Linked DNA regions of Schizosaccharomyces pombe. Changing the gene in region 1 together with any one later gene gives a genetic interaction. Each region holds a gene or a part of one and is shown on either strand. Other genes may lie near its edges. The genes, in order: but1, atp12, trm82 and btb1.

Region 1 (3,565 bases):
ACGCCCATTGTGCATTACACCTATTGATTCGTCTACTCCCACAAAGACAGCTACGTTTTATACTTCATCTACAACTGAAAATCTAGATGAGCTAAATTTTTCAACAGAAGAATTATCAAGTTTTGACACTACTTTGTTAAACTCAGATACGAGCAAATTGTCTGGGCTTGACGATAGTAGTTTTATGGAAGAGGAATTTGTATGGCAAGTTGACAACGTTTTGCAGGAATGTGAAAAAAAATTTACTCCTCATTCAAAGGGAAGTTATTTAAAAGAGAATTTAAAGTCAGAATTAAGGAAGGGTCGTTTGGATGAATTGATGTGTGAAAATACCGCCTTAAAAGAAAAAATTGATAAATTAAATAAGGAATTAGAGAAAGTTGAACCTCAGTTGACATTCCTTCGCAGTAAAAACAGTATTGAAAAACCTCGGAATTTTAGGCGTGAAAAGTTTCTCAAAAAATTCTTGGCTATGCAGAAAGAAATAAAGTATCTAAGAAAGCGAAAGTTGCAAATTCGAAAGATTCCTAATTATAAGTACTCTGATCGAAGTTTGAATTCCAAAACTCCTAAAAGCCAGGACAACTGGACTACACAAGTTACACCATCTAGTCTCCTTGGGGTCTCAGAGGTTTCTAAGGTTTTGCAATTAAAACAGGTTCAGGTCGACATAACTGAGCTTGTAAAAATTCCTAAAAACCCGTTTTCTGAGAAATTGACAATATCTAACGTGAATAGATACTTAAATATTGTACCGGGAAGTTTGGATTTACAATTTTCATTAACAAATGAAAATTTTGTACATTGGAATAGCACAGTTTATCAAGAATTATTAAACTTAAAGTCCAACAACTCTTCAGTGGATGGTGTGAAGACAAGAAGGCAACTGTTGGAGGAAAATGCTTTGTTGTCTCATAAAGTATTAAAACTAACAGAAGAAATTCAAGACTTGGAAACTTTGAATCAGCTAAACACTGAAATAGAAGCAAGACAATCGGAAAAGTTAAATGAGGTGCAAGAGGAAACTCAAAGGCTATCTCAGTTACTAATATCTTCTCAACCTGCTTTGACAGAAGTTAAACATTTGAAACTATGCTTATCAGACTCTCAAGAGGAATTATTGCAATTAAATGCAAAACTTGAGAAAGCAAATATTGTAATAGACGAGTTAAACAGTGCAAAATTGAAACTATCAAAACAAGTGGAGGAGGAAAGTAGTATGAAAGACGACCTTACAGAAATGAACCAACGTTTAAAAGAACAAATTGAATCATACGAGAATGAAGTTAACTCTGAAATCACTTCTAGAACATTGAAAGAATTTGAAACATTAAAGACACAGTATGAGAAAAATCTTTGTAATTTAAGAGAACAGCTAAAGACCGCAAGGATGAAACTGGCCGATAAATATCCACAAGGTGACAATACTAGTGAAAATATAGACTGGCTCAAACACAGTTTACGGGATTCTAATACTGAAAACTCAATTCCAAGCCCATTGACCTTTGCCTGCAAGGAGATAAGAAAATTAGTTGCAGATATTAAACCCGTTTCAGTAGAAAAGCAGCTGGCCTTGAATTGGAAAAAAGATATCGAGCGACCCAGTTTTCATCACAATCAACAGCTATTTAATTATTGTCAGTTAACAGACATTCTTTCCAAAAAATGCTAATCTTTTAATGAGATATATAATTCAATTTATTAATAGCCGCCGAAAATTAGCTTCTAATCTTAACTGCCATATTTTAACGAATTTATCATTAATGTACTGTATGGTGTTGCTTTAAGTTTAAGATCGACTTGTAACCTCTTTTGTGACCTGTTATGCATTAACGAAATATGGGGTTGAGTATTTGATTGGTTCATGTTTGTATTAAACTAACGTACTTTTGGCCAATTAGATCGACTTTGAAGATTAATTGTCGACGTGAGAATCATGTAAATAAACAAGTTTACTTACCCTAAACCAACCACTTTAAGAGTGGGAAACTGCTTGTTTCACATTGCACGGTAGCGATATTATTTTTTTTTGTTACCTTTTTTCTATTAAAGCGTATCAAGCGTTTCTTCACCTTCTTGCAGAGAAAGGGTTAGAAAATGGAAATCGACCAAAACCTTTTCCAGTTTCCCATTTCGACTCGTGATGCTGTTCACGAGAAAAATTGTACTTTAAGAGTTAAATCTACAAAAAAAAGAAGAAGCTCTACGAAAGATGAAGAAACGCGTGGTATGCATCCCCATATAAAGAGTTCGTTTAGGAACGGAATGAACCATGCACGTGTCATTAGGGAAGAAGATATGGAAGTAGTATTTGAACCATGTTTCATTAATCTTTCCAAACCCGTTTACGTTGTAAATGGTATCGGTGGAATAAATGAAATTCATAAATTACCTATACTATTCTCTTCATTTGTTCTCTGTTTCTTTGGTAATGTCAGCGGTGATTATGGTTATGTTGACAACGTCCCACTTCACATATCTGTCATTAGTCACTTTTATCCATGTCTGCAATCCTACAACACAGATGTGATTGGTATCACTACTGATACGGTTGAAAATATATGTCAATGGAAAGCCCATCTGCCTCGTGCTCTACAATTTTCATTACCAGTTATTTCGGATTCTAACAATGAAATTTGTAGAGAGATGGGAATGCTGCATCCTCTTGGAGGAGCAAAATTAGCTTTGGATGCAATTGTAATTATAGATTCCATAGGGCGTCGACGCGACATCCTTCCCATTCGTACTACCACTTGTGTATCTACTTTAATAACAGCAGTTCAAGAAACTGTTCGATTTTTGGCAATTGAAAATGGAAGGTTGCTTTAAAAGCCTTCTATGATGATCACTCGTTCAAAAAAAAAATGACAAACAAAAATTTTTTTACGTTTCAGCAAAAGTTGATGATATTGTCACACATAAAACCACAAAACATGGGTTCAATGGAATAGAAAATACTTTCTATAAATACATATATATATATTTAATATTTCACAAAATAAATTACAATGTACCATAAATTATGCTGTCAAAAATTTACGATAAGGTACGGATGGGTATTTATTAAATTTTTCAAAAAAAAAAAAAAAAAAAGTGTAAGGAATAATTTATTAAACTATGATATCTTTAACAAAAAAAATCAATGAACCAATAAATTAAATAAATAAAAAAGTCAACTCTGATTATCAAATTATAAACATCACCGATATCAATTTCAATCAGTCAATAAATAATTTGGCATATTCTTTTTGAAGCATTTACTTTTTCAGAACAAAGCCAAGCTGATAGATTTTAGTTTAAATTCCTCTATTCAAATAAAAATGACAGTGCAGGCTTCTATAGTATTATTTTGTTCAAACAAAAGTAATCAAAATTTGAGTAATAAAAAAAATGCAAAAATTAAAAATAATCAAATATTCTCTCCCTCCGGGATTCGAACCCGGGCTGCAAGCGTGACAGGCTTGTGTACTACCCCTATACTAAAGGAGATCGTTGTAAACTAATCTTTATAATTATATATATTTAAGAAATATAATTATATGATATAATTACAGTTGGTTTATTC
Region 2 (3,849 bases), 3.0 Mb from region 1:
AAAAGACGAGGCATCTCTCTTATGTCCATTGATGCTAACAAATTGAGTCCTAAAAAAACTTCCCCAAATTCTGGATACATAACATCTCCTTTAAGGCATCCGATTTTACTTTCCGAAACAGAACCTGGAACCCCAACAAAAAATGATTCACCTGCTTATATCGGATTACCTTCACAACCCAATAGTATAACTACTTTGAATAACACTAACCAGAAATTCCAAGTTCCTGATAATGACAAACCACCTATGTCTTCATTAAATGAACTATCTGCATCCTACAAGCCTATCGTATTCGACTCTTCGCAGCATAAAACTCAAGGCACTGACAATAATGACTCTTTTTACCACGACGATACAAATTGCATTCATCTTTCACGTTTAGAAAAGATTCGGGAGCTTCTCACATTCGTACAGTTGGAACTTAAATATTATGTAGAACCTCTTAAGAAAGAATTACAAGAGACAAAGACTCTATTGGCTCAAAAGGAAGAAGAGATATCTAACCTAAAAGATAAATTACAAAATGCAGGATTATCTTAATTTATTCATTTACATTGATTCATGAATTAATTTTGGGTACCTTGTCAAAACAATTTGGTCTGAAGGATAACTGACATAATAGCTCAGCATATTCGACATGAGGAAACTAATTTAGAATTCTCTGTTCAACGACGGCAACATTACTCTATAATTCTAATTTGGCAATGTGCAGTGTTTTAAGTAAACAGTTGTAGGGTTCTCTTAATTGAGTTCACCCAGAGGGAGCTATTCCAAAAATTTTGTAATTTTTTGAGTTTGCGTATAGCCGTTAGTGGGCATGTTCATTACTTTTGTCATGCATGTCTTCTATGCACCGTGAGAGTATTGCCGAGCTGGCCAACTTATTCTTAAGATCCTCATTGTCTATTTCGTGAGCTGCAGTTGTAAGTATTTAACATTAGAATAATAGAGAGTTTATACATACCATCTTCCAAAGAGCCCCATCGATTTGTTTGGTACTGAAGTTCTAAGTTCGTCAAAGCGGCAGCTTTTTCAGAGTTCAAATATCCTTTTAAAATCATGAAAGAAACTATGAAGCTCTTGCAGCAACTAACAGATCTTTCAAAAGCTGCTAGTTGCCAAGAGTTCAGCGAGCTGAGCCAGTTTCTTATGCGTTCGTGTGTTTCCTGCGTTTGTTTATGGGCAATAATACCAGCATCACCATCCAAATAGCTTAATTGCACACCAAGTTTGTTTTCAAAGGTTTCTTTCAGTGGCCACCAATTTTCCTTTTGCTCCTCCAACAATTTCCCTTCATATTCTGTTTCGGGGGAGTAAATTAGAATTGTGTCGGTGTCAAGGAAACGAATTAATTGAGTAGAAAGTAGTTCCTTTTCTTCTTTTTTGAATTGTGATATGTCAATAGCTCTCGAAACTAGGGAAGTAATTGGGAGATTGTGTTGTCGAACAGAGGTTGATGGTAATCGATCCCATTCTAGGGCAATCAAGTGTGCTAGTAACTCCATTTCTTTAGGTACCTTAACAATCTTCCCAGAAGGTGATTTTAAATTTCGTCCATCTAATTGAATCAAGACTTCTCCATTTTGGATTTTGGTAGCTGTATTCTTCCAAAATCTCCTGAATGATGGTTGCGGCAAAGGAGAGGAAGCTTTTGTAGAGTAAAACGAATAGCACGTTTTAAATGACAGCAAGTTTTTGCTGGATAATCTGTAAAATTGTAAAGATCGAAGCATCTTACAAAAATAGAAAAAAAAGGGTATTCAAGGTGTCTATCTGAGACACTAAAAAATCTTTCGTACTTCAAACTGCCAAAATTTAATTTTTAATTATTGTTTAAGAGTTAATTATTATGATATACGTTTTTAGTTGGTGTTCTCCAAAATATTGGTTACTATGTAAGATGAGTCTAACAATATTTTGTCACAGGCATGATGAGAATAAGTTTTAATATTTTTTTCTAAAAGTAGTTTTTAATTAAGCAAGAAAAAACTCTTTTAAAATAAATTAATAGACGTTCCTATCATAGTTCCTAAACCGTTGTTTACGTTAGCCGCCTTGAATTTAGCTACGATTAAGACTACTTTTTGACAAACCGTAAATGTAAATTGATAAATTACAATTAGATACTCGGAAAATTAGAAGGAACCTTAAAAAAAATCAATTAACATGTGCTGTTAAAAACTTAAAGTTGAAGAATAGATACAAACAAAATAAAACCTTTCTATAAATGCTACGGTATTATTCTACATAACAAACTACATTTACTAATCGAATAATAAAAATTAGAACAGGATATTGACTATCAACTCGCGTTATGAAAATCCATCAAAAACTCATTAAATATTATTACAATAAAAACCTTGCGCTGGTACAAAAGAACATGTACATTTTTAATAGCTTAGCTATAAAAAATGCAAGTAATTAAAAAATTTAGCCATTTATAGACGTTATACCAAAACCTTTTTCTTCTCCATTTTCCTTTTTGCATATTTTGGAGGCTGAAAATTCGGTATATTGGAAGTGGCCAGCTTCTCAGAAACCAAATCTATAGGTTTGGGTAATTCTTTTTCAACCGTTGTTTCTGCATTCAATCTTCTTATAATTTCACCATCCTGAGACGAAAACAACGATTTAGCTTCACGATCAATTTCTTCTTCCTCAAATTTCCGCTTTTTGGACTCCTCTTCTTCAATTGATCCATATGCATCTTCCTTTAAGAGAGCGATTGCATCATCAATGTTAACTCGAGACCTTCGAGCGCTCTTTTCACGTAGTTCGTCGAGTGCATCACTAATTTGCATTTGTCGTTTAGTGTCTAATGTTTTTTGTTCTAATTTTTCCATTTCGTCCTCCTCAGGAATGTCATTGCGTTCAGCTAACTCATTTTCTTCATATTCTTGTAATCTTTTTTCATGCCACGGCTCATAATTCCTGGAAGCTCCACTCTCTGCTGCATAATCTGCATGTTTTGGATCGGTTATAAATGTTATTTCAGCAGCACACCTAGTGCAGCGAATATAAAACCTCAATATATCAATTGAAAAATATTTTTCGCCGGTTTTCTCCTTCCTAGCGTTAAACTTTTTTCCTTTATATATATACTCTCCACAAGTATGACAGCGCATTGAAAATGGAGTCATCAAACGAACAGTCAATTTCCCACCATTTGGTCCTTGAAACTTTTTCTTTTTCTTAGGAGGACGAATGGAAGGATCATAATCGGGCGGGATATACTTGTTAAGTACCTTTCGTTCAGACATTGTTGGAAACTATGAAAAAAAAATGAAATGAACGTACGAGAATTGCTTTACCAAATTCAAAAAAAAAGAATAAATTAAAGTAAGGAAAATTTAACCGTCCTTTTGGGTTGGAATTATTTGACTTTACAGATGAATTTGAAAATGCTAGTTTTATGTGGATATGCGCTTTTTGTAAGCGAATGGCAAAAGTACTAGTACTATCTGTAGTTCTTTGACACTCGATACGTCGCGGTAATAAATTGAATGCGCACATAGCACTACGTAAACATATTTAGTACCATCCTTATATTTCCTTATACAATACCTGAGCTGAGCTATCGAGACGTGAGCAAGCGTTGTTTGTCAATCTTACACCTTCCGGTGTTTTAAGAGTACTTTAGATTCCCTTATAAATTGTGTATTATTTAAATGCTTCTGATTAATTTTGACTGATCAGTCTCCATAGTACTTTACGCTTACAGCAATAGACAATTAATGGGGTTGTTGGCATTAATGGCAGGAATAGATGATTTATATGAACTTGGTTAAAAATCGCTGTATTTCAGCTTATGTTCGTCTTAGTAAAGTTGATAGCAATGATCATAAGAAA
Region 3 (4,357 bases), on another chromosome or scaffold:
ACAATTTATGCTCCTTTGGTGTTGTAATACAAATAAGCGCTAGTTAAAGCTCAGAATCTGTATCAATCGCAAGAACGAAAATGACCGCCAAATGCAAATTATTCGAGTTTAACGTTACATAAACGCGCAAATCCACGAACAGTATGATCTTTTCAATACAAAGAATGCAGAGATTTAAGGTCCTGTTGGGTTAATAGAAAACTGTTAGCAAAGTATGTATTTAGGCCAGTAAACTGCGATATTTTTTTTACTGAAATACGTTAGCATTCACAACTGGGCTTACAGTTTCTCCCCTAATATATCAACGATTGAAATCTTTTTAAGATAATCTAACCTTTTATTTAGTCGAATAAAAATTTCAATTTTCTCTTTAAGCTAAATTTGGTTGAAACTGCTTTTTTAGGTCGCTTGGATAATTGCTTCCTTTTCTCTTTCGCTTTAAACGACTTTGAATCTAGATGAAAAATGGTTTACAACTTTACATTTGTGATGATTACATCGTAAATATTTACATTGTGCCTATACCCAATTTTTTTTCTTCGTTTCTTTAGCCACAAGCGTTAGTTGAAAGTATTGTTTACACAGGAAGGGTTGAATCAGAAACATTGTATGTATGATAGCGTTATATTAGTAGACAACACTTGTAGGCAAACCTATCCCGAAAAATTTTATTTTTAAATATATACATATGCTAATTTCCAACAATAAGCAGTCTACTTTCTTTTCCGACGATGTTTTTTTCTTTCACCAACATCACCTATTATGTTTACAGGTAAAGTAGGTTCATCCGTTGTATGGTTTTTTGATGATCTCTTTTTGATGCTTAAAGGGTTAGGCCCTTTAGGACCCTTGCGTTTTTTATTGGCTTTTGGAGCAGAATCCTCTGTTCCCGCTAAATCCGTACTTTCCTTGGTATCTTGATCATCGATAGCCAGTTCATTCGCTGAACGCTTTTTTCCGGATAATAACAACTTTTCCTCTTTTGACATGCCCATCTGAACGGATTCTTTGTTGTGCTTTTCTAATAACGTAGCTCGTGAAGCTGGTTCTAGTATCACAACTGACCTTTTCATATATATAAGTGGAACACCTGGGACCGAACGAAGAGCTTGCCTAAGCTCGGGGTCTTGGGTAGCAACAACATAGCGGTGCTTGTTCCGACCATTAATGTTGACTACACTCTGAATACATTCTGAAGGAGAGAGTGCTTCATCAATATGACCACACCTCCTTCGCTCAAAAGACTTTGCGATACGAATTTCTTGCTTCAATTCATCGGATTTACTGTACAATTGCCGAATACAACATTGAGTAATCACTATAGTCAGTTAGTAAATCCGTTAGTTATAATAATTTACAAGGAGAACATAAGGAAAGAAAATAATAAACCAGACCCGGATGAAAAGATACTATGTTGAATAATTAAACTTTCCGTTCTGTTTCATATTCCGGGGGTTCGCCCTTTTTTCCAGTAAAAGAAAACACTTATAAACAAAACTTACTAGGTTTTATAGCTCCTTGAACAGTCCTAGCTAATGCAGCTTGTATATCAATCTTTTGTTGAGATAAATCTTTTAGGAAATCTGCATCCACTAAAAATCATGTTAGTTTAATAACATCACCAAAAAGAAAATGCTTATTGTTTGCAAATTAGAACTTGGGTAAGGATGCATCTTTACAAGCATCATTTTCTGTACCACATACCGAGTACTTGATATGGTTCACGAAATCCAAATAAAAGCTGATACGTATGCATCAGCTTTCTGTAATTCTTTGCCCTTTTTTGCCTCATATTTACGCCCTTTTCTGTGCGTCACACAGCCTAAGACTTAATATGCTTTAGATCACTTGTTTTTTTAAGAATTTTTTTTTTCGCTCAAAAACGAAAAGTCTTTTGTTACTATTAGAAATATTAAAAAAATAAATTCAATCGTATTAAAAGAAGTATCCAGGAACCCTAATATTGCTGAAATCCTCTTATTAGGAAATTTCCAACTAGTTTGTACTTTCCAAGTTCACCCACGTACTAAAATTTTGGGCGCTTTAACTATTTAACTTAAGTGAGATACTTGGCTTCGAACTGAGTGTATACTTCTTTTATTTCTCTATTTAGATAAATTTGTAAGGAAACGGTATTAAGCAGAAAGAGGATTCAGTCTATTATTTACCCTTATCATACTTTTTCTTCATTTCTACTGCGTAAATAATTTTAAAGCTTTGCTTTTTATTATTTGAAAGATTTGTCATTATTACTTTCTTTCTTCTAAAGCTTCTTTTTCTTCTTTTTATAAAATTGTAAATATATTCGGATCCAAAAATTAGAGGTTTATTTCTGAAGTGTTTGTTTTGTTGCTTCTATTTTCTTAAGAATCAATCAATAAAAACATGAGTGAACAGCGAGTTTTTAAGCACCCTTGTCAATTTTTAACATGGAATTCTAAACACAATTACATCGTGTGCTGTTCAGGTCCATATCTATTGGGGTTCTCATGCTCTACAGGGGAAAAAATTTTTGAACATTGTTATAGAGACAATATAAATGAAAAACATAGAGAGGCAGCTGCCTATGGAGAAGCGATTCGTCAAGTCGCATTTTCTAAAGACTATTCTCGTATGGCAACAGTTAGTGAAGACAAATGTTTGCGCCTTTGGGATAGCACTCAGCCTGATAAAATTGAACTTCTTTATCAAAAAAACATACCAAAGCGATGTGCTGACTTGTGCTTTGCGGGCTCAAACGAAATTGTTTTTGGTGATAAGTTTGGTGATGTCTATTGTGTAGACGAAAATTGGTTTACTACTTCTGAAGTTACCGAAGAAAAAAAGTCAAATGTGGTTGAAGGAAAACAAGAACCTGTTAATAATGACACTTTAAAGGATTCGAAATTGCAAAAACTCGAACCCATTATGGGGCATGTTTCGATCTTAACTCAATTAATAGTTGCTCAAAATCCACAAAATTCTAAAGAAGAAATAATCATTACTTCAGATAAAGACGAGCATATTCGTATTTCCCGATTTCCCAATGCATTTGTCATTGAAGGGTTTTGCTTAGGTCATGAAGAGTAAGTTTTCATTTGGTTTTAGTTGATCAATTTTTTTTTTTTTTTTTTAAATAACACTAACGCCTTTTCCTAGTTTTGTATCTAGGATGTCCTTATATGACAATCGTACTCTAATATCTGGCGGTGGAGATAATCACGTTTTCGTATGGGATTTAGAGAATTTCAAATGTTTGGATGCATTCGATCTACGATCTGCCTTTTCCACTTATCTCTCATTAAATCAACCAATGGTGGTTTCAGTTATTCTTCCTATTTTTAAGCGCCAGCTTGTTGCTTTTGCGTGTGAAGGAATGGCGGGTCTTATCTTCGCGAAGGTGACACCTGAAAAGAGACTGTTGTTTCATTCTGCTTTGAAGCTGTCAGGGCCTGTTCTTGACGCTGTTTTGCTTGACACGGATACTGATCAAATTCTCATTTCTTTGGACTCTAGTTTTACATTTGGTGCATGTTTTGAATGCGTGAAATTTGATGAAGGGAATGCGGCTGTTCTTACGAAACCCGATGTAATAAAGCGTATAGAATCTGATGGTTTAATATCAACCGAAAAGCCGTTCTGCCCGCTCGCTCAAATTCACACATTACGCAAGAACCACTCTAAATTCATTCGCAGTGTTGAAACCGGTACATCTTCGCCATCCGTTGAATCTAAAGATAATTAAAGCTCATTTTAGGGAGACCGGCTCAAAAAAAATAATTGGGAAAAGTGGGAGCATCAGTAAATATGGAAAATAGATATGAATAAAAATGATTGTGACATTAAAGTATAATAGGGAGAGCATTTAATTTCTTTGGAGAAACCCAGAATTTTGAAGTATAAATACAGTCAGCGATTAATAATTATGCGAATAAACGCAACTTGTATCTACTGCATAAGTGCAACTGCTATTCAGTTGTGCAACGTCAGCAATTTGAAGAAGTAAAATTAATCGTTTATTCAATTCCTTCCATTTACATGCTACGACAATACTTTACATAATACTTGCAACGGCAAATTGTTTTTAGAAGGCCTAAAGAACACGAGATACATCCATTAGTGCTATCTAACAAAAAAAGCTTAGTCGAAGAGACCGAAACCCATGTCCTCATCGGATTCCTCTTCCTCTTCAGCAGCAGCCTCGGCAGCGGGTGCCTCAGCTTCACCACCAGCAGCAGCAGCAGGAGCAGCGGCGACTACGAAAGCAGAGGGATCAGCAAGGAAAGCCTTAGTCTAAAATAAAGTTAGTGAACTGAGTACAAAAATAATTTAATGATTCAAAGAGTTTAATTGTATACAAGCGTTCAGCAAAAAATTA
Region 4 (6,698 bases), on another chromosome or scaffold:
ACGGTATTCGTCACTTGATCTGGGATACCACCAAGGAGTTAAGTCTAAAGGGTGTCTATCGTACCGGTTATGCTGTTCTTGCCCTTTCCGTTTTGACCTCTGGCTATTTTGCGATGATTTAGGTGAATGGAAACAAACCTTATCTTTGCTCGTTTTGTAATTGCTTGTCACGGTTTCTCTAGTGAATTTACGAAGCAGCATCATTTCTCCTATAATTTTTCCACTACAATTGGATCTGTCCTTGATACACTATAAATTACCGTGTATATCGAATTCTTGTATTCATTCCGTACGTGCTTTGAATTTCTTTATGACCAAAGTTTCCTATTCAATTTTATTATTTTCAAATATTGAATTTTTAGCGTATGTAAAATGTGTGATTGGTATCGTGAAACAAAAGCTTAATAAATAATTCACCATGTAGCAAATATTTTTTCTTATACATATCTATTAAAGTATCTCTTCATAAGTTGAATAAATTAATGTCCTGAATTTTTTGTATATAGTCGTTGTTATGGTCATTTGACTGCACGTGCTTTTCCTTTCTTGTGAGTAGTCCTTGGTATATCAATAGGAAGAGATTTAAACTCCGCAGTGGACTCTGACACTTTGGAATCTTTTTCCTTTCTGTGCCTTCGTTGAGGTTGTTTAGAAGCTTGTCCCTGTTTTCTATTCGTAGAGGTATCTCTTTCAGTTTTAAGGATTCCAAGTTCTTTCTGTACTCTCAAACTCTCCTCCTCCCACCACTTTTGAAACTCCTCTTCCTGTTGTATCTCCTCAATTGTTTTTCTAAAAGATGATCTCCTCTTTTGACTCTCAATTTCTTCTTTCTGCTCAGTCATAATCTCCGAAATCGATAAAGGTTGGCTATTTTTTGGTAAAGAAGCAGATCGGGGAGATGGTTTAGTAAGTAGGTTCCAACTAGTTGGAGAACCATTGGAAATGCGCTTCTTCGATTCTTGATAAATTACTTGAGATGAACCTTCCTCTCGAGCTGCCTCTCTAAGAATACCATTAAATGACTTTTTCACTCCAGTTGATGACGAAAAACTGCCCCTCTGATGTGTTGCTACAGACCAAGGGTTTGAGTGATTCGATTTACCCAACTCGATATCGATGTGGCCAACATTTGTTTTGGAAATAGGCACTTGCTTTGAAAGCTCCTTTTTTTTCTCACGTTGGGATTTTTTAGTTGGAGCTTTCATAAATCTAGAATCAGACAAAACCGTAGTAGTTGAAGCATCAGCTTTCTCTTGCTCCAGCAATTCTCTAAGACTAGCTCTAGTAGTGTTGTTATTATGAGAAAGATTTTCCCTATTCCTCCATGGACTCGTTTTGTCAAAAGTAATTGTTGCAGTAACAGGTTGATCAGCCCCAGGACCATTTAATTGTGTTTTATCCCCTCCTGACGAAGCAGACTCTATATTGTTTTGAATTTCAACAGAAGCTCCTGCTGTCTTTGTAATGCTCGTAACGTTAACAACATTTGGTTTAGGAGACTTCTCCTCAGCATCTTCCTTATTTAATGAATCACTTTGATTACTTGAAGGAACAATTCCAGATTCTAAAATTACTGCTGAAGTGCTGCATCGACGATCTTCAAAAATAGACCGATAAGGGGAATCGTCCCATAATTGAGAACTTTCCTGGGAAAACAAGTATTCTCTGAGAACTTTAAGCTCATAATTTCTTTTTTCCATCAACACTGGATCTCTTATCAATAATCTATTAGCAATCTTGCTAGAAGGAAGATGTACTCGTTGATCAGAAAGCAATTCAGTTAAACGTTGAGCGACTTTTTTTAAATGGAAACCATCCCATTCACTTATACGATTTGCTTCCAAAAAGAATTCAATATTGTGACAAGCATAATCAATACATCGTGAATAAAGCTCCTCAGCGTGATAACTAAGTGAAAGATCCATTAGAGTAGGTAGAGTTTTCAAATTTAAAAAGCGAAGTAAGGATTGCTGGGCTATGCTTTTTAGTTCAAGAAAAAGAAGCTCGTCTGCAATAGACAAAATTTCGAACATAGTTTCCAACCAATTATGAAAATCGGATTCTTTCAAATCGTCAAAAAGCTCAACTTTTAAGTCACTGTATACATGACGAAGAACAATTGACATATGCTCAACAGTCAAATGAGACAAATTGACGGTTATTGGGATGTCAAAACTATTGCTTTCCATAGAAACAAATTGGAAATAAGAACTAAAGTATTCACTGCGGAGACTTAAAAAAAGACCATGTGCCTTGAGCTCTCCATCTTTAAGCTTTATTACTGTATCCATTGTTTCTTCGCATAAGACATAAAAATTATTATATAGTTGCAGAATGTCATTCGTTAAAGAAAGCAAAGGTTGGCGGGAAACACTAAACGGTAAAACCTCCGCTAAATGAGGTAACTCCAGTAAGTTTGCAAGTTTTGAAAGGTTTTCTTTTAAAGGTGAAAAGCGTGAATCAAGATGCCATGGAGAAAGCAATGTATCCGTGTACAAATAATGCAAAAGAATAGCAACCGCTAAAGGAGGAATATCTTCAACTCTAATTGTTGAATGAGATTGAGTGATTTCTTCAATGTAAATGATGTTGGAGACACTCGATTTCTTTTTTTGTAGCAATAATTTTCTCAAAAATGAAGATCGAGCACACAATATGAACTTATGTGAGTGGAACATAGAAGTACCACAATAAATAGTAACATCAGAAAATGATTGCTTATAATTTTCATAACTAGTAAGAATCGGTATAGATCCTTCAAAAAGTAGCTGCATCTCATTGCTGGATGCAGCGCGGTCTTCGTCAAAAATAGGGACTCCGTCTTCATCTTCGGGAGGAATCAAACGTGGTTGTCTTACATGTAAAAGGTGGTCATAGGGAAGTAGTGAGCGCAAAAGATCAATTAACATATTCGAAGGCTTGTAGATTGGCGGTGGAAGATAATCATTTCGAATTGCAAAAAATGATCCAGAAGCGCTCGCACGGACTCCAACAACCATTTGTAAATTTTCAATTCTATTATATTTGTATGGTCCTCTAGAATACGGGCTACTAGATGACTTTTCTCGCTTTTTTGACCTTAACTCCCGTTTCCAACAAGTGCCATTTCTAGTACATAGTATTAAAGAATTATCAGCGGTCCACGCAATATCTAAAGCTGCAAGGTCTGAAGATTCAAAAATCCATAATGGAGTAAATTTGAATGAAGTTCGTGTGGAATTCTTGGAAGAGGTAGAATCACGATCAAGTAAAAGCTTCATATCAAATTCATAGACTTCGCCTAGTTCTGTAAGCACGGCTAGTTTGTTTTCTGAAGCTAATAATTTTCTAACGTTAAATCTGGTGAGGGAAAGAGGATGCTTAGTTACCTTTAACGAACTACCAAAGTCAACGTTGAATGGCAATTTCACTTGATTATAATTGCAAAAGGCAATTATACTGTTGTTTTGTAAAAGGCATATCGTAGCACGAGTAGTACAAACGGCATGTATGACAGGCGATAATAAGCCAGCAACTCTCCTTGGAGTAGAAACAACTGAAATATGATCAGATATACCTAATTGGCCATTATTTAACCCCCAGCTGTAAATATCAGTGTCAGTCCAAGCAACGCTATAACTTTTTCCAGCCGCCATTCCAATTATCTGATAATCCTTGAATGCAGAGATACGCCTAGGGGTAATTTGAATTGGATCATCCTTTTTCAGTTCGTCATTAGAAAGTCCCAGTTCACCAGAACCATTCTTTCCCCACGAATAAATACTTCCGAACTTTGTAAGAGCAAGTGAATGGGTATGACTAACAGAAATCTGGATAACTTTATGAATGATACCAGGAATAGGAATAAAGTTATATTGAACGTCCGTGTTAAAACCTATTCTCCCTCCAGCACCAATACCACATACGTAAACATTTTGCGACGGCTCATCCGTTAGTACGACGCTGTGAAATTTGGAAGCCTGCACATCAAGGATTTTGTCTCGGGAAAAGAGTTGACCTGATGTGGGAGACTCTGTTTGGTTTTTCAGTAAAAACACTCTTTCTGGCGATGAAGGTTCTTTCCCATTTGCTATTCCGAGCGTATTGTTTACGTTAGTACCAAAGCCATAAAGTTCATTTCCTATTATCGGTAAGTCAAGAACCGGATGAATAGTGCTTGAAAGGACTCGTGATAAAAATTGAAATGGAGAAAGACCTTCTTTGTCTTTAATACGCAATGATCTGAAGGAGGGATCTTTTGATAAAAGCAAAGACGCTGCTTCCAAGTTGCCAACGTAGATTGCCCGATGCAACGCCGTATATCCAGATTCTTCATCTTGCACAAAAACATCAATGCCTTTATGCTGCAAAAGAGATCTAACAAAGGAATTTTTATTCTCAGAAACGGCGATGTGCAGCACGGTGCGTCCGTATCGATCTTTTTGGTTGATACGGAGTTTTTGTCCGCTCTTTTCCGAAAAACCCTTTCTAGGCTCTTTCACCTTTGAATCATCTTGCTTCAGTAGATTTTGGAATGAGCGAATGTCGTTGCAAAGGTAATACGCGAAAAGCAGATGACTCATTTAATCAATCGAGACTAAAAAAGGGCGCAATGTGAATTTATCATTTAATCAATCGATTACTCCATAAGAAATTTTCTCTCAAATCAATTAAAACGTTCCAGTTTTTTAACTTGACTGTTGCTGAAGAAAAAATGGAAGAAGAGTAGCAGTGGATGCTGGTAGTTGAATACCGACAGGTGCATTGATTTAAGCTATCGCTTAATATTTGAGGCAATTTTTGGGGCAATCTGATTTGATGAAATATGCCTGGGAGCATACTTTATTTATTCGCTTAAGCTGGAATGAAAGAGAGCATGTTACTTATGTATAAAATATATGAAAACAGAAAAAGAAAGAATAAAGGCATAAAAATGAATAAATAAATAAAAGTCATTGCCATCAAAAATTAATCTACATCTTTTAAAGTCATCTTTTTTTCTACCACTGTACTGATCTTTCGAGCGTGAAAGATCTTTCTACAATGCGGTCTGCACAGTGAATCAGTGGGATAAGGAAAGAAAAGACTAAATTCCCCTCTTCTCAAAGGCAAATGCTAAATAAAATCCTGCTGCTTCTTTTTCCTGTCCACCAATTCCACGGTGTCCTTCATTATCAACGACTTTCATTCGATCCATTAGGGGTCCATACGTTTCAGAGTTTTTCTCTTCATTTAAGATGTCCAAAAAAGGTTTTACCCATATTAATTCAAGATTGTATCCTTCGGCAACAGCACGAAAGGCTTCAAAAGGAACTACATATTCAGGAACATCGGTAACAGCATCCTCTAAATAAAAATAATATTGAATTCCATACGGAGGTCGAAAAGAGCGTGGAGGTGATTCAGGAAATCTGACTTTGTATATGTCATTTCCCCATTCTTTTTCTCCTGGTTTAAGCATTTTAATATGTTTGACAATTACATCGGAATTGGGAATCGTTCCTATCATTACTCCACCACGAGGAAGGCATTTAGAAACGTTCCCCAACAAGACCCTAACCTTTTCTTCGCTTTCAAATGCATAATGCATGCAAAACTGTAGAGAAACAACGTCAAATTTTCTTTGGTCTGGGGGAAGTAATTCGTTAATTGAGCTAGAAAAACAGTCGCCAGCGTAGAATAGTGCATCAAAAGAAGCATGCATTTCACGGTATCTCTTCTTGGCCTGATTTACGGAAACTTCAGCTATGTCAATCCCAATATATCCATCAATGCCAGCTTTGTCCCATTTAATTAAATCACCACCTTTTCCACATCCCATGTCTAGTACCAAAATAGGATAATCAGAAGCATGGGGTGCGAATTTTTGTATGAGAACAGATTTGATCCAGTTGTTAAACCTCTTTAGTTGAATAATAGGAGAAAATTGTCGTTTTTTATAACCCAAATCAGGACGCGCGTTATAGTGTGAACGTACCACATCCTGCGCATTACCATTGTTTTCATGCCTATTATAACCTCTGCGACCAGAGTTGTCATTGTTTTGGAAGTAATCGCGACGCCTTGGTTGTTGTTCAATTACTCGATTCATTTGTGCAGTAGGTCTCGCATATCTGCGATTTTCTGTTGGAGGCTGTTCCTCATGCACTCGGGAGTTCGAGCTGCTCATATCTCTTATTATAAATATTATTATAAATAAATGAGAATAGTTTCTTTCAAAGGTTAACGATCTTTCCATCATATGATGACTATCCATCGATCACAAACTTACATACAAATAATTTTCTTCAAAATAATTCAAAAAACAGAAACTTCTTTAAAAAAGATCAAAAACATATGACTTTTAAAACTTGCTTTACTGTCTTAGAGAAATTAGACTATATTCAATAGCATGAGGTTGCAGTGTGGTTGGTATACTGGCGAGAAAAGTAGATGTTGCAATACGAAGTGGATTACCAGATTCTTTACATTACCACAGCTAAGATATATATAATTTGTTGACAATGTTTTCAATTCAGCCAAATTTAGTTTACATATAAAAAACGAACCTGCTTCTAAATAAATAAATAAACAAAACTTGAAATTTTGGGCGACTAATCTACTACTGCCAGATTGCAACAAGAAGTAATCATAAAACAATGATAGATACATAAAGTAGATATTTCATTAAATTGCTTATTGCTTACCTATTAAAAACCGAAATTAATTTTTTGAGCACA

The links.
Region 2: mutations in but1 (region 1) and atp12 together harm fitness less than expected from each alone (positive genetic interaction), as found in Schizosaccharomyces pombe (one large-scale study listed by BioGRID).
Region 3: mutations in but1 (region 1) and trm82 together harm fitness more than expected from each alone (negative genetic interaction), as found in Schizosaccharomyces pombe (one large-scale study listed by BioGRID).
Region 4: mutations in but1 (region 1) and btb1 together harm fitness more than expected from each alone (negative genetic interaction), as found in Schizosaccharomyces pombe (one large-scale study listed by BioGRID).

The regions. Positions count from the first base shown.
Region 1 is NC_003424.3:4,532,781-4,536,345, reverse strand, and holds but1 (thioredoxin family protein But1), read left to right. Parts: upstream 1-1,958; 5' UTR 1,959-2,097; coding exon 2,098-2,829; 3' UTR 2,830-3,020; downstream 3,021-3,565. Other genes in the region: dynactin microtubule-binding subunit, p150-Glued Ssm4, read left to right, coding at 1-1,672. UniProt on the Schizosaccharomyces pombe protein: Acts as a negative regulator of the NEDD8 pathway. Has a role in meiosis.
Region 2 is NC_003424.3:1,486,323-1,490,171, forward strand, and holds atp12 (F1-ATPase chaperone Atp12), read right to left. Parts: upstream 1,869-3,849; 5' UTR 1,734-1,868; coding exon 965-1,733; exon of another isoform or gene 916-964; coding exon 809-915; 3' UTR 541-808; downstream 1-540. Other genes in the region: SPOM_SPAC9.11 (uncharacterized protein), read left to right, coding at 1-540; cwf16 (splicing factor), read right to left, coding at 2,448-3,260. UniProt on the Schizosaccharomyces pombe protein: Essential for the assembly of the mitochondrial F1-F0 complex.
Region 3 is NC_003421.2:1,976,510-1,980,866, forward strand, and holds trm82 (tRNA (guanine-N7-)-methyltransferase subunit Trm82), read left to right. Parts: upstream 1-2,011; 5' UTR 2,012-2,385; coding exon 2,386-3,065; intron 3,066-3,138; coding exon 3,139-3,724; 3' UTR 3,725-3,856; downstream 3,857-4,357. Other genes in the region: rRNA processing protein Utp23, read right to left, coding at 714-1,318, 1,503-1,592, 1,705-1,792; rpp0 (60S ribosomal protein uL10), read right to left, coding at 4,120-4,272.
Region 4 is NC_003421.2:129,381-136,078, reverse strand, and holds btb1 (BTB/POZ family ubiquitin-type ligase substrate adaptor Btb1), read right to left. Parts: upstream 4,685-6,698; 5' UTR 4,563-4,684; coding exon 519-4,562; downstream 1-518. Other genes in the region: sdh3 (succinate dehydrogenase cytochrome B subunit), read left to right, coding at 1-122; mRNA 5'-cap (guanine-N7-)-methyltransferase Pcm1, read right to left, coding at 5,066-6,148. UniProt on the Schizosaccharomyces pombe protein: Probable substrate-specific adapter of an E3 ubiquitin-protein ligase complex which mediates the ubiquitination and subsequent proteasomal degradation of target proteins.